Schizosaccharomyces pombe: one gene and its partner. The gene in region 1 interacts genetically with each later gene. Each region holds a gene or a part of one and is shown on either strand. Other genes may lie near its edges.

The links. A genetic interaction does not mean that the proteins touch.
Region 2: mutations in sxa2 (region 1) and eng1 together harm fitness more than expected from each alone (negative genetic interaction), as found in Schizosaccharomyces pombe (one large-scale study listed by BioGRID).

Annotation. Positions count from the first base shown.
Region 1 is NC_003424.3:710,514-717,247, forward strand, and holds sxa2 (serine carboxypeptidase Sxa2), read right to left. Parts: upstream 3,937-6,734; 5' UTR 3,502-3,936; coding exon 1,978-3,501; 3' UTR 1,704-1,977; downstream 1-1,703. Other genes in the region: cox4 (cytochrome c oxidase subunit IV), read left to right, coding at 788-899, 1,255-1,637; mug65 (spore wall assembly protein), read left to right, coding at 4,967-5,022, 5,070-5,208, 5,481-5,633, 5,710-6,108; lcp1 (cyclin L family cyclin), read right to left, coding at 6,427-6,734. UniProt on the Schizosaccharomyces pombe protein: Involved in degradation or processing of the mating pheromones. Its loss causes a persistent response to the pheromones. It may be required for stabilization of enzymes that are essential for zygote formation. May degrade the mating pheromone P-factor.
Region 2 is NC_003424.3:996,706-1,003,965, forward strand, and holds eng1 (cell septum surface endo-1,3-beta-glucanase Eng1), read left to right. Parts: upstream 1-1,926; 5' UTR 1,927-2,247; coding exon 2,248-5,298; 3' UTR 5,299-5,656; downstream 5,657-7,260. Other genes in the region: ubiquitin ligase Slp1, read right to left, coding at 1-237; superoxide dismutase Sod1, read right to left, coding at 6,294-6,758. UniProt on the Schizosaccharomyces pombe protein: Cleaves internal linkages in 1,3-beta-glucan. Has a role in cell separation where it is required for the degradation of the primary septum after completion of cytokinesis.

The DNA of each region.
Region 1 (6,734 bases):
TACAAAATAGCAGAAAGACACCTCAACGTTTTTTACAATTATTATGAAAAGCTATGAAATTTAATGTGAATAAACTAGATGAAAAGAAACGACTAAATGAACCAACGAAAAGGTATTAAAAAATAGTATTTCGTATTAGATTTAATTGATTAACACAATGTGGTCAGTAATATACAGAGAATGTATGCATGTTTGCTTTAAACAATAGAACAAACGGATTGTAATAATTGAGAGGACAAGATCGAAAATGAACGACCTGAAAATCGTTCATCACTAGGGAATTTATTTCTTTCGGTCATATTGCTTTTAAAATAATTAATATTCCCGAGGCAAACATGATACATTAAACCTCTAGTTCATAAAGAGTTGTATAAGAAATGAGTAAACAAAACAATTTAAGTCAATTTCTTCCAGGGTATAGCTCATGAACCTTAAAAAACACAAACAATCAGTAGAAATATAGCAATGATCCCTTTAATTATAACACTCAGATATGTTTAGCAAGTTATGAGCACCGATAGTCAATCAAGAAAAGGACATCTCATACTACTCGTTTTTTATACAATATAATTAAGGCAATAGTAATATTGGAACTTCCCCATTATCATCTTATTCGTAACTGTTTAAGAAATAATTCCGTTTTTTGTTAACCTTCTCATCTTTTTTTCTGTTGTAGCTTGCTGTCCTACCAAATTTCGTTACACAATACCGGACCAACGTTGGAAACTACACAACACCCCATCTCACCCATTATCAGGTTATAAATCATCAATAATTGTCTTTTAAGATGTTTATGAATTCTATGCTTCGTGTCTCCAGACAAAGAGCAGCGGTCAGGAGTACTGTTTCTCTGTACCGTGGCTTTGTTTCTGCTTCAATCCGCCGTAATGAGCAAAACGGTAAGTCCTTTGAAAGCTTAGTAAAGTTTGTCATAGCAGCTTAATGGTTAAAGCTTGTTTAGTACTGGCTATAGGAGTAAAGCTTCCGTTGACTCTTGATCTCCGATGTACAGTTTTGCTATTAATTATATATCGGAAGTTAGGCTTGTGTGCCCATTCATTCTTTTCTATATTTTACAGACCTAAAAAGTAATCAAAAGAATGAAAATCGACGTTGCCTATAGCCCACTCTCTTAAAACGCTTTCTATTTCATCTATTAAGTCGCTTAGTAGATATGACTTGTTAATTTGTGCTGCCGATACATTTTAGGGCTTTTTAGCTTAATTTTTATCTCCTTCACTAACATTCTTTTAGTTGTAAAAGCCGCCGCTCAAGAATTAGCCAACGCTAAGGAACCTTCTGATTTGATCGGACCTGGTGGTCGTGACGGCGAGGTTCCAACTGATTTGGAGCAAGCCACTGGTTTGGAACGATATGAACTTTTATCAGAGCTTTCAGGGAGAGATGCATTTGATATGAAACCGTTGGATGCTTCTCGTAAAGGCACATTGACGGATCCTATAATGGTCACTTCTCTTGATCCTTACCGTCATATTGGCTGTACTGGTAGTCCTTCTGGTTCACATAATTTAATTTGGATGACTGTCTACAAAGACAAACTCCGCCGTTGTCCTGAATGCGGATCTGTATACAAATTAAAATTCATGGGAGATCCCAACGCTGAACACAGTCATTAGTATGCTTACCAATCTTCCATATCCCCTTGCTATTTTCATACTCTTTTATAACAATTTAGCTCTTTTATTTGAACTTTGAAAAATCAATGAAAACTGTATGCTGATCTATTTCTTATTTTGGGAACGATTCGATTATTCGTAAACGTATATCTTATAAATAATTCTATCTATTCAACCATATCTTAGTTGTTAATTCAAGCACCATTCTTTTTTTCTTGTAGTCATGCGGAAATATGATCTAATTATCGTTCCGAGTTTCATAAACGATAGTTATTTATTGATATACCACATCAGTGGTAAGTCAATAAACTTGTATTTTAAATTTTCCGATATTAAACTTTTAATAAAGCAACGTATTTTCAAGCCATTCTCTAACCATTTGAGGGTCTTTAGATGGAGCCATGTGCCCAACCGAGTTGGACAATGTAAAGGCTAAGTTACGTTCATCCAAAGTAAATCCATTAGTTGTCTCTAAACTTCCAGGAGATTGAGTGAATCCCTGCCATCCATTCCATGTTGTATTTTGCAATGCCAAAAGAGTTCCGGTCCAAAGAATTTGAAGATCCAATGCCCCAGCTAAGAAAGACACTTTGTATTTTTCTGTTAAGCGTGGAATTATTTCAACGAGAACTGATTCTACGTTGTTACTCACAATCTTTTTGTATAAGTCAAAATTGCATCCGTCTGCGAAGACACCCTCGCCGCTTGTCAACGCAGTTGAAGCTTTCGTAGCATGTAAAGAAGAGCGAACATCTTCTCTGTTCAGGTATGTGATTAAGGGATCATTATACTCATTGAAACTACAATCAAGGCTAACATCATAAGTTATGACACAGCTGTTCTCTAGATAAAGTAAAAAGTTAGAAAGGGAATACAAGTCACATCCAGAAATTGAATTAAATACATTCCCAATGTCTTCACCATCGAGAGCTTCCCGCTTCCTTAGAGAAGTAGATGTGCTAAAGTTGTACTCTGGTCTCCATATTGGGTATTGTTCAGTAGGAAACGTCAATCTGTTCAAAACTGAATCATATTGACATTCTTTATTGCGCTTTTTAAACTCTTCAGATATTGTGGAAGAAGTATTATTAAAATAGTATCCAAGTTTGCTGATATGTTCCACCCAAATAGAAGCAGTAATTTGTTCTTGAGTTTCGTAGTCCGCCGTAAGTCCACTGACGATTCCCACGCCCATAAAATTTATATTCAAAGATGGTTCAGAAAGTAATGCCTCTGCAAAATTGGCGCTCCATATGCTACCGTAGCTTTCGCCGACAAGGTAGAGCTTTTTCTTCATTAAGTGGGGAAACTTTTGGTAAAATGATTTCAGGGCATTTACAAAATCTGAAGAAGCTTCTTCAATCGTAGTTGTATATGCCGCCTGTCCTTGGGAGTACCCCGTACCAAATGGCTGATCTAACCATAACATGTTGGCGAAGTTTGTCCAAGATTCAGGATTAAGGGATGGTGAGGGGCTACTTTGGGATATTTCAATGGGTCCATTTTCACTGAAAAAGCCTAATGTTCCAGCGCATCCAGGTCCTCCTTGAAGCCATACTATGAAAGTTTCCGAATCAACAACAGCAGGGGCATATGTATAAAAAAGTGATTTATCGGAATTCGCTTCCAAGTATCCAGAATATAATTCCGGTAATGATCCCTTAAATTCAGGAAGTGATTTAATTCGATCCGAAGAAGGAGCAGCGTGTTGTCTAGGTTGAACAGTCTGATTCGAGGAAGCAGAACTCGTGTTGGCTTGTTGTATACTGCATTTCCAATGTACAGTGTAAGTTGGTAAAGCGTGAATGATAGTCAATTCAATTATTATAATAGCAAAAAGAGATTTCAAAAATAAAGACAGCATTGAAAAGAGAGACAATGATTTTGAGCCTATGAGAAAAGCGTTAGCGCTAAATTAAATATAATATTTATCATATTTGGAATATATTGATGTATTCAGTTTCGAAACAATTCTTGAAAAGTGACTATAATTTTATACGCTTCAGTATTTCGAAAAATGTGAAAATGCTATGACTTACTCGAATAAAGAAACCGGATTGTTTATCTGATTCATTTTCATAAGAGTTGCATGCTATATATGATAATACATAATAATGGGGATTCACTTGAATAGATTAGCATTGTCCATTGTTTACAATCAACAACAATAGAGATGGGCAACAAAGACACCCAGCGAAGTACCATTTACTAGTAATAGGCTAATTCATTTAAGTTTTTCAACACAATAGTCCTTAATGAAAAAACCAATTGTTTCGTTTACGCGGCAAGTGAATAGGGTAGGACTAGAATAACCTATGGTCTGTTTAAATCGAAAACCAGCTTATTTCAGCAGCGATCATTTATGCATTCTTAATGCTTAACAATGCGAGGCGACTCAAAGAATGGAGAAAATTGATTGTTTTATGACCGGTGGAATCGAATAATTTGACTTTTGCTATGAAGGCTTTAGCCCTTAGAAATAAAGAAATAAAATAAAAAATAGATAGATAACAAGAAAAAATCAATGTCAAATAATTTAGTTGTATTAATGAAAAATAAGAAATAACTAAATTAAAAAAATATAAATACATTTATATATTAGTAACACTATTTCTTTTTAAAGACCTTGAAATATTATGTGAGAAACTTAAAAACTAATAAAAATAAATAAATATAAAAATATAAAGAAAAAGAAAAAAATTAAAAATTATATATACAATATACTAATAAACATAGTGATTAATTAAATGAAAAAAATAAATGTTTCTTAAAGCATGGTTAAAACACACAATGGCGGATTTCTAGCCATGTAGCTCAATTTTTCTGTTGATCCGTTCTTGAATTATAGTATAGAAATTATTGCAATTGCATGAAAAAACTTATCATGAAACTTTTTTGGTAAAAAGAGCTTCAGTTTGTTGTTTTCATGTTCGAAAGACAGTTTCTATTAATATTTATATCCGTCCTAGAATGAATAGTAACTTGGTGCACCAAAAAAAACATTGCAAACAAACACAGCTGTATTCTGTCTGCAACTTGCTTTTATGGGGAAGTTTTTTATATAAAACATTTTGTTGTTTACTTAACAATATACTTTAACCAAATATTATTCTCTAAATTGTTTAGTAGCTTGTTGCGTCATTTAGCTAGTAAACACCAAAAATCGGCTGTTGTCAAAACGGCCGCCGTTTTGCACATACAATAAAGAACCCACTACCCCATAATCTTTATAATAAACAGCTTTTAATTAATTTCTTTTTTAATATAGATTTTATTTCCTATAATTTCTCTCTTAATTTCTAGATGGAACTAAATAAGATCCTGCATAGATGACGGAATCTGAAAGGACTTCACATCTTGATATTCTCTACGAAAATCAACGTGGGTATGACAAAGCAATTTTGCAGTTTGAAACTAAACATTTATACTTAGTATTATGCTATGTGGGGTACCCTATTTCTCTGAAAAATCATTGTTGAATTTTGACCCTGCTCCTTGGGTTGATCAGCATTTTGTTGCGTCTCCTGTCTCAACGAAAACAGCAACTTGTCCTGATCCTAGTTGGGAATGGGTATGTCAATAACTTCTTCTCTGTCTTCCTCTAGGACGATAGCGATAAGACCAGCATATAGTTTGCTTGAAAACTGTTTGCTAACAATATACTGCTTTTGTTGTAACATTTTCCTCTCTGAATTTAAGAAAGCTATTTGTTTTACACCAATGAAATTAGCTGTAGTTGAACCATCCTTTGGCTCAATTATTTAAGTTTCATTTGGTTCTTTGCTTTTGGTTAGCTAAATTTGTGAATGGATGTGTTACCAAAAAAGCAGTTTAAATGTATAGGCATGGCAGCGTTGGTATATTGACATGTCCGGCGATGTCGATGAATCAGGTTGGCAGTATGGGTTTTCATTTACCATGAACAATTGGCATGGTAAACCGGTTTCTCTTCATTCGTTTGTTCGTCGCAGACGATGGATCCGGAAGCGAAAAAAGGTATAATACATCACAGGCTACTTTAATTGTGCTAGTTTGAAAATTCGTTCCGTTCATATTTTAACGTTTTCTATAGAAAGAATTGCGACGAGATGAACTTCCTCTTGTTCCAGAGTCCTTCACAATCTCCTCTTCATATCCCATACAAAGGTCAAGTACTCAAACACGAAGCAGCTTTGAAGATGATTCATCGGACTTTGATCTTTCAGAGGTTACCACCATTCCCGCCCTTTTACGCGCTCTTCAGGATAGTCGAATTGACCGTGAAAAATTGGAAGCCCTAGCAACCTTTTTGGCTTCCGCCAGTATAGATGAAAAGGTTTATGTAAAAAACTGCAAAAAGGACCTTCTCAAAAACTTTGTTTTTGAACATAGTTGCCGTAAAGCTAATGAACTCCTAAATGCGTCGCTGACTGCGGCAGAAGCATCTACCTCCCAAGTGGCTTTACGAGAATCTCCAACTCCCCAGGATTGAACAAGATAATCAGCCCACTAATTTCTGACTGTATCCATTTCAATTAGTTTATTATCGTCTTTCCTCGAATGCTTTCCTCTATAAACGAAAAGGATCTGAAAGATGTGATACGTTCTTAAAGATACACACGTGTTTTTTTAATGGTTGTTTATGCTTTATTTATAGCCAAGTTTGCAAAATTGATGTCGCTAACTTGTATCTTAACAATTCGCTCACTACTACTACAGAAAGGTATATACAATTAATGAATACTCTCGTTTTTTAAATAAGGATATATTTGTGTTCCATTCTGCAATGTTAAACAGGAAGATGTACACTTTAAGCAGAAACTTGCTCAGTAAAAATGAGATACAATGTTTTATGAGCAATAGCGCTTGTTTTATAAAAATTTTCCAAAATGCTTGTTAAAGAATCGATTTCTTCTTTTGTAGTATCAAAGACTCGATACCAGTCTTTGGGTAATTTCATACCGATAACTCTAGCTGCCATTGCGATGCAGCCGCATGCCAAACTAAACGGAGGATACAAAACGCAAAGTCGAGTTCGGCTAGCATCGTTTAAAAAATTCCATGTTATTTGTAAAAGCTTTTTGTTATCAATTAGCTGTAATGTTTGTAGATAATGAA
Region 2 (7,260 bases), 280 kb from region 1:
GTTTCGTGGTGATCCGCATAGTGGAATAGACCAATCTGTATTTACTACATCGATTTTTGGTGAGTTTCTGATAAAAGAAGATTTAGGGGAGCAACGCTTGGAAGAACGACCGTTACGGCCTAAAAGTGCCTGCTGATGCAGGGGAGTTATAGGGCTGTTAGGGAAGACTAAGTTCCTTTTCTTTGTGGGTGTTGAAAATGTAGGCGATATGGTTGAAGAATTACCTGCTATCTCCATTTTGATTAACTCGCTCAAAATATATATGTAAAAGAAAAATAATGCAAGAAGCGAATATCAAAGGACAGAAACGTATCCAAAACTTTGAATAAAACTTCTAATGAATTAGAAATAAAGTGGATTTCAATTTCTTTTTGTTGTAGAAAAGATGAAAGAGAAAAAGAAAAGCGAAGAAAGAAAAGACTTTTTAAAAATTCAATAGGTAAGCTATATAATAATGTAACGTTAGTAGCAAAAAGAATTCAACTTTTTTGAAAGCCTTTATTAATTTTTTAAGCTTTGTTGTTGCTGTTTTTTTTTTTAGAGAAAAGAAAGTGCGCTAACAAATAAAGGACTATTAGGTTTCGTAAACAAATCGTAGAAGGAGAAACGAACGTCTTCAAGAATTAATCGATTTTAAGCAAATGAATGACTTTATGATGACCGGCACCACAGCGCATTAATTAATATTTTTGAATAATTGGATAAAAGAATGAGTCGAGTGCTAATATAGCAAGCAATGCAATGCAATGAAATAATATGTGAAGGAGAACCTGCTCAAAGAAATAATCTATTAACTGTATAAGGAAGAGATACCAGTCTTTTCCTTAAGACAAACAATATAGGACCAGCCTAATATATCAAAGAAAAAGGATCCGAAGATACTAAAACTTTGTAACGTTGAAATTCAAAGTGTTTAGATGATTTGTTTACAATAAATTCAGGACCACAGCGTTTAGTATATAAATGCTCTGAATACCCTAACCCTTGGTTACTATGGCTACCACGTGTAAATAAACAAGAGTGAACAATATTTACAGCTTATGGTAATGCTGCGCGTACAGTTGAGGTAAATATAACAACAAACTCTTGATAAACAATGTATTTTCTACTTTTATACTAAATATATTTAAATTCTACTGCATGTTTGTTTTCATTTCTCATCAACCCCCCAGTTTAAATCTGCTAAAATTTGTAACGCATTTCAACAATCTATCCCGTATTCCAACCACCCATCTTTAGCAAAGCGAGTGTTTTGTGTTGTTGCTTTGCTACACGCTACCTTACTAAACAACTGGACACTTTCCAAACAATATGTTGCCTGTACCTATTTTTGTAAAATTTCTGTATTTAGCAATCTATTGAAAAGTGATTTTTTACTATTTGGTTATTTAATAGGTATCCTGAACCCTCACGAATCACCAAGCATTTTTCAATTCAAATTACATAAATATATTTACTCCCATGTTCCACTGTCAAGAAATTAAATTTTCGCGAGCGCGTTTTTAATAAGTAGCTCTTGGCGAAATGCTTGTATTTGGAAAATCTACTGATACTTACTACTCCTGAATATTATTTCAAGTACTATCTAGATACCAATTGTTTTATCCCACGCGTTTCTACTTTTCGAAAGCCACCGGACGCCAAAATATTTAACTACCTAGCTACTTAACGTCATTTTGAAGAGTATCATACAATCAAATAACGCCAAAGTAATGTTTCAAGTTGTGTTGTTTACATTTGCTTATGTATAAACAGTTTTTCTTAAAAAGGGCTGGCTGTTAAGACATCCAGATTTCCGCCGACCACCCACATTTGTCCTCTTTATGGTAAATATGGCTGGACATGCTAAGAAAAAGGACATGATGGCTGTCCAAGTTTCCAAATTTGGAATAATATAAAGTATCAAGGTTCGCTTTTCTAATTACTATAACCTAAGTAAGACACAACCTCCTTATTGATTGTAAACAATCGGGAAATCTTGAAACCCAAGTGATACCTAATCTGGAAAACTTAAGAATTTACTAATCCATATCCACTTAACTATCATAATAACATTGGATATTGGAGTCTAATAAATCCTTAAGCAGCTTCTTCTTAATTATTGTATTACCTTTTTGATTTCCTCATTCTTTGTTTCATTTTTTTTTGTTACTTTAGCAATTTTAGTTTAAATCTTTTATTTTCTCTGTCTTTCCTTTTAGTCATTTTTGGTTTGCTATCTTTTCACTTACTTTATTGTTAGGAACTATGAGTTCCTATTTACGTTCTTTTATATTTGGTCTTTTGACCATAAGTTTGGCACAATGCTCGCCAATCCTTAAGGATACCAAGGATACCAAATTTTCCACAGGCTCTAATATTAGCTTAAAAAAACGTGATACCAATGTTTTCGACTCTGTTGTTGATACTATCAACCCAGCCAGTTATTTCGGCACCGTTTCGCACCCAGTTACTCCTGCCGGCGTCAGTACTGACAGCTTGAGCTCCCCTATTGAAACTAACAAATTTTTTGATAATAATTTACTTGGTTCTCGTACTAATTTCATGTATGCTGATCCCTTCAGATATTGGTGGCAGTCTTCAGACACGATGGGTGGCATTTGTATTGCTCATACCGATGACAATCAACGTGTAATGGATACGGACGATACAATCCCTTCCTATTATTATGAACCCATCGGTATTTGTTCGCTCGGATTTGGTGCTTCTGGTATTACCTCTAATACTGACCCAATTGTCGACGAGATTGATCAGATGTCTGCTCGCTTTACTTTCTCTTGGGACTCTTCGTCTATGCAACTTACTTTGACTGAGGGTATGGCCGTTACTACTGCTGTCTACACTAATGCTATTCCTCAAATTTTTTCATCCACTCTTTATATCAATGACTTTGTCGAAGTGCCGGGTACTTCTGCTGTTCAAAAGTATCGTGTCACGATGTCTGATAACCACGTTTGGCTTATTTACATTTATGGGGATAGCCTTACGTTGACTGAATCCACATCTCAAATGCTTGTTGGAAGCAACACTTTCAATGGTTACATTCAAATCGCGAAAATTCCTCTTGGAGATGGCACCGCTGAAGCTCTTTATGACACTTATGCGGGTGTCTATATTACCGGTATTAGTATTTCCGGATATGTTGAGGATGCTGTTGGTTATTACTCGTTTGATTTTACGACTGCTGGGGATACTTCAGTAGAGCCTCTATTTTTCTTATTGCCTCATCAAGTGGATACAGCTGTCAGTGGTACCAAAGTTACATCCATTGTTTTGGCTTCTCTAGTAAGTGGTGATATGAATGCCGCAGCTGGAAACTCTATAACATTCGCCGAAGCTATTCCTCAGGACATTGGTTTTCTTCCATGGTCGCCGACAGGTGGTCAGATTGGTTATTCGGAAGAAGCATTAGAGATCATCGCTGAGGTTGCTGGTACTGAATTGGGCGAAGACTTCTCTGCCAACTCTAATTTGAATTCAATGTACTATTCTGGCAAAGTTTTGGCTAAGTATGCAATGCTGTGTGTTACAATTAATGATATTCTTGGTGATGAGACCAGCAGCGAACAATGTATTCAAAAACTAGAGGCTGCTTTTGCCCGTTTTGTTGACAATCAGCAAATTTACCCTCTGACTTATGATAACACTTGGAAAGGAGTTGTCAGTGTAGCTGGTCTATCTGGTGATTCCTTGGCTGATTTTGGTAACAGCTACTATAATGATCACCATTTCCATTATGGTTATTTTGTTTTCACTGCTGCTGTAATTGGTCATATTGATCCTGACTGGATTAACACTGGGAACAATAAGGAATGGGTTAACTTTCTAGTTCGTGATGTTGCCAATCCATCATCAAATGATCCTTACTTTCCAAAGCACCGAATGATTGATATTTATCATGGTCATGGTTGGGCATCTGGTTTGTTTGAGTCTAATGATGGCAAGGATGAAGAATCAACGTCCGAAGATTATAACTTCTTTTTCGGTATGAAACTTTGGGGTCAAGTAATTGGCGATTCTGATATGGAGGATCGCGCAAACATTATTTTGGGCATTGAAAGAAATGCTTTGAATAAGTACATGCTGTATGCTGATGGAAACGTCCAGCCCACTTCTATGCAACCTAATTATGTTGCCGGTATTACATTCATGAACAAAATTACTCACACTACCTATTTTGGTACTAATATTGAGTACATCCAAGGAATTCATATGTTGCCTATCACTCCAATTTCAGCTTTTATCCGTGGTCCTAGCTTTGTACTAGCTGAATGGAATGCCTTACTTGCTAGTGTCATTGACTATGTAGATAGCGGTTGGAGAAGTCTTTTATATGCTAATCTAGCTATTGCTGAACCTGAAGAAAGTTATGAATATTTCTCCAGTTCTGATTTTAATACCGATTACTTAGATGACGGGGCCTCTCGTGCCTGGTATTTGGCTTATGCCGCTGGCTTATGGGCTAATGATGCCGTTTATTATCCTGTTAGCTCTTCTTCTACCACCACGACCTCTACGAGTACCGGAAGTGTTACGACAACCTCTACTACTGCAACTGCCAGTTGTACACTACCTATATCCTATACTTCGACTCCTACTACTACAAGCATCTCTGGTACTTGTAATGGTGCTACGTTTGATGCAAGTTTGTATGTATGCGACGGAACTGTACTCTGCCCTATTGTTAATGGTGTATCATATCAAAACTGCAACGGAGCTTGCTATAACCCTTCGCAATATGGCTGCGACAATGGAGCTTTGGGCCCTGTTCAATCTTCATCGACCACTTCCTCCATTACGCCTACTCCCACAACTACTTCCTCAATAACACCCACACCTACTACAACTTCAACAACTACTACCGCACAGTCAACTGGCATGCAACTATGTGGCTCTAACTACTACGACGCATCCTCTTATTATTGTGACAATGATCAGTTATGTCCTATAATAGACGGAGTGGATTACTTGAGTTGTAATGGTGCATGCTATAATCCTTCCCAATATGTTTGTTCTGATGGTTCTTTGTCTCCAAACACTGTTACAACAACAAAAGCTACTACAACTTTCACACCTACACCTACCACAACTACTACACCTACACCTACTACTACATCTGCTACATCCACTAATGTGATAGCCCAATGTGGATCAGCTTGGTATGATTCACAAAGTTATATTTGTTATGGCAATATACTGTGTCCCATTATAAATGGGTCTCCATTGTTAGCTTGTGGTAATGCGTGCTATGACTCCTCTATATACGGTTGCTCCAATGGTGCACTTGTTGCTGCTTAAGCATGACCAAAGTCCGGAATTGTATTGCGAGGTGCTTTTTTGGATTTCTTCAGATGTACTATACTTATTGCTTGTATGTTTTCAAACTATTTAAAAAACTACATTTTGTTCATAATACACGTCTGGAACGTGAACTACTCTCAACTTGAAACCCTTTTTGGATATCGTCTAGGCCGGCTTAGAGATCAATTTATTAAAATTATTCTTGCTGAGTTTTTCTTTTTTGCATCTTTTTGAATTAGTTGGTTATTATTTAACCACTTATTTTATTAATTGTTCACACTGGATGTGAACCTTTAGACTTATAGAATAAAATTTATTTTAAAATACAACTTGTGCAGATGTTTTCAGTTTACACAAACTTGCCTGTCGTTATTGTTTAGTTGAAATTAGTTCGTAAAAATTCATTGATACGTAAAAGTAATAACAAAATCAACAAAGATGAAACGATGGTATTATGATTAATAAAAAAAAAGGCTTCACCCATTAGAATTTTAACAAGATGTGTTGATATTGCTACTATGTGTGTATCTATTAATCAACATTCTATATATCTTTTTTTAAACAATACGAAAAGCACTTTCTATCATCTTTATGCACGAACTCAACGATGCAAAACAAAGTTTTCTGACTAAAAGATCAAAAATTGTTGCTGCTTTTGCTTCTTCATTATCAATACCGAAACAAAGTTACAACAATTCCTTCTAATTAACTGAATTTTATGTAAACTCGAACGCAGAGTCTTAAGGACAAAAATACATCACTACATTTTTTTACACATATAACATAATAGTAACAAACAGCTTCCACAAAGCTACAGTACTTATCATCATCAATTAAATTAAGTTTTTTAATACAGAACCTATAGAAGCATAATATACGGAACTTTTCATAAAAAAAAAGAAATTTGAGATCACTCAACTAAATGATAACAATACTAACCAACACCTAAACCCACAGCCATTTGAACAAAAAGACGTAAAAACTCAATAAATTTAGACGGCAATACCAATGACACCACAAGCGTTACGTGCACCAGCGTTACCAGTCTTCAAAGACTCTTCACTAGTACCCTTACCAAGATCATCCTCACCGGCATGAATGACAATGGTACGGCCAATGATGCTGTTGGCACCAAACAATGAGATAACAGAATCAGAGAAAGTAGTCTTGATGTTGCCCTGAGCATCGCTTTCCAAGTTACCAAGATCACCAACGTGACGAACAGCGGCGGTACGGTCACCGTGAGTCTTACCCTCTGGGTTAAAGTGAGGACCAGCAGAGGTACAACCGTTGGTATTATCACCGAATTGGTGAATATGGAAACCACGCTTGGCATTAGCGTCATTGCCAACGAGATCCACAATCACAGAAACTTGAGAGTTTTGATCGACTTGTTCAAAAGTAACGACACCACTGACCTTAGAGTCACCACGAAGAACTGCTACAGCTCTAACCATTTTGTATGACGATAATTTACTTTAAAAAAATACAACAAGAGAAGGGGTGTTTTGAGTAATTAAGTGTTTTGAAGGAAAATCAATAAGATTTTAACCACACTTCAAAGTTGGAGATTTCGAAAATTTTGTTTGGAATTGGAAGAGGATAGGGCGGCGTGTCATCGCTTATATAGTAAATAGCTCCACGCGGAATATACATGAAATTTTAACGATATCAACTCAAATCAATTTTTCGATATGACCAATGTTTTTTTATATTCTAAAAACGAAGAAATTGTCTTTATACTTATCGATTTAACAAATTTGCTTTACAAAGCATTGTCTAGTCCGTGCCTTCGAGCCTCCAAAATAGGCCAATAAGCTACGCCGAGCATCACCTCAGCTTGGCGTTGGCTTACTCCACCAGTATTCGTAATCATATTACGTGCTCCTTCGCGGAATTGAAATTCCGCTAAAGATGATAACGCGCCACTCGAAGAATAAATAACGATATCTAAAGTTG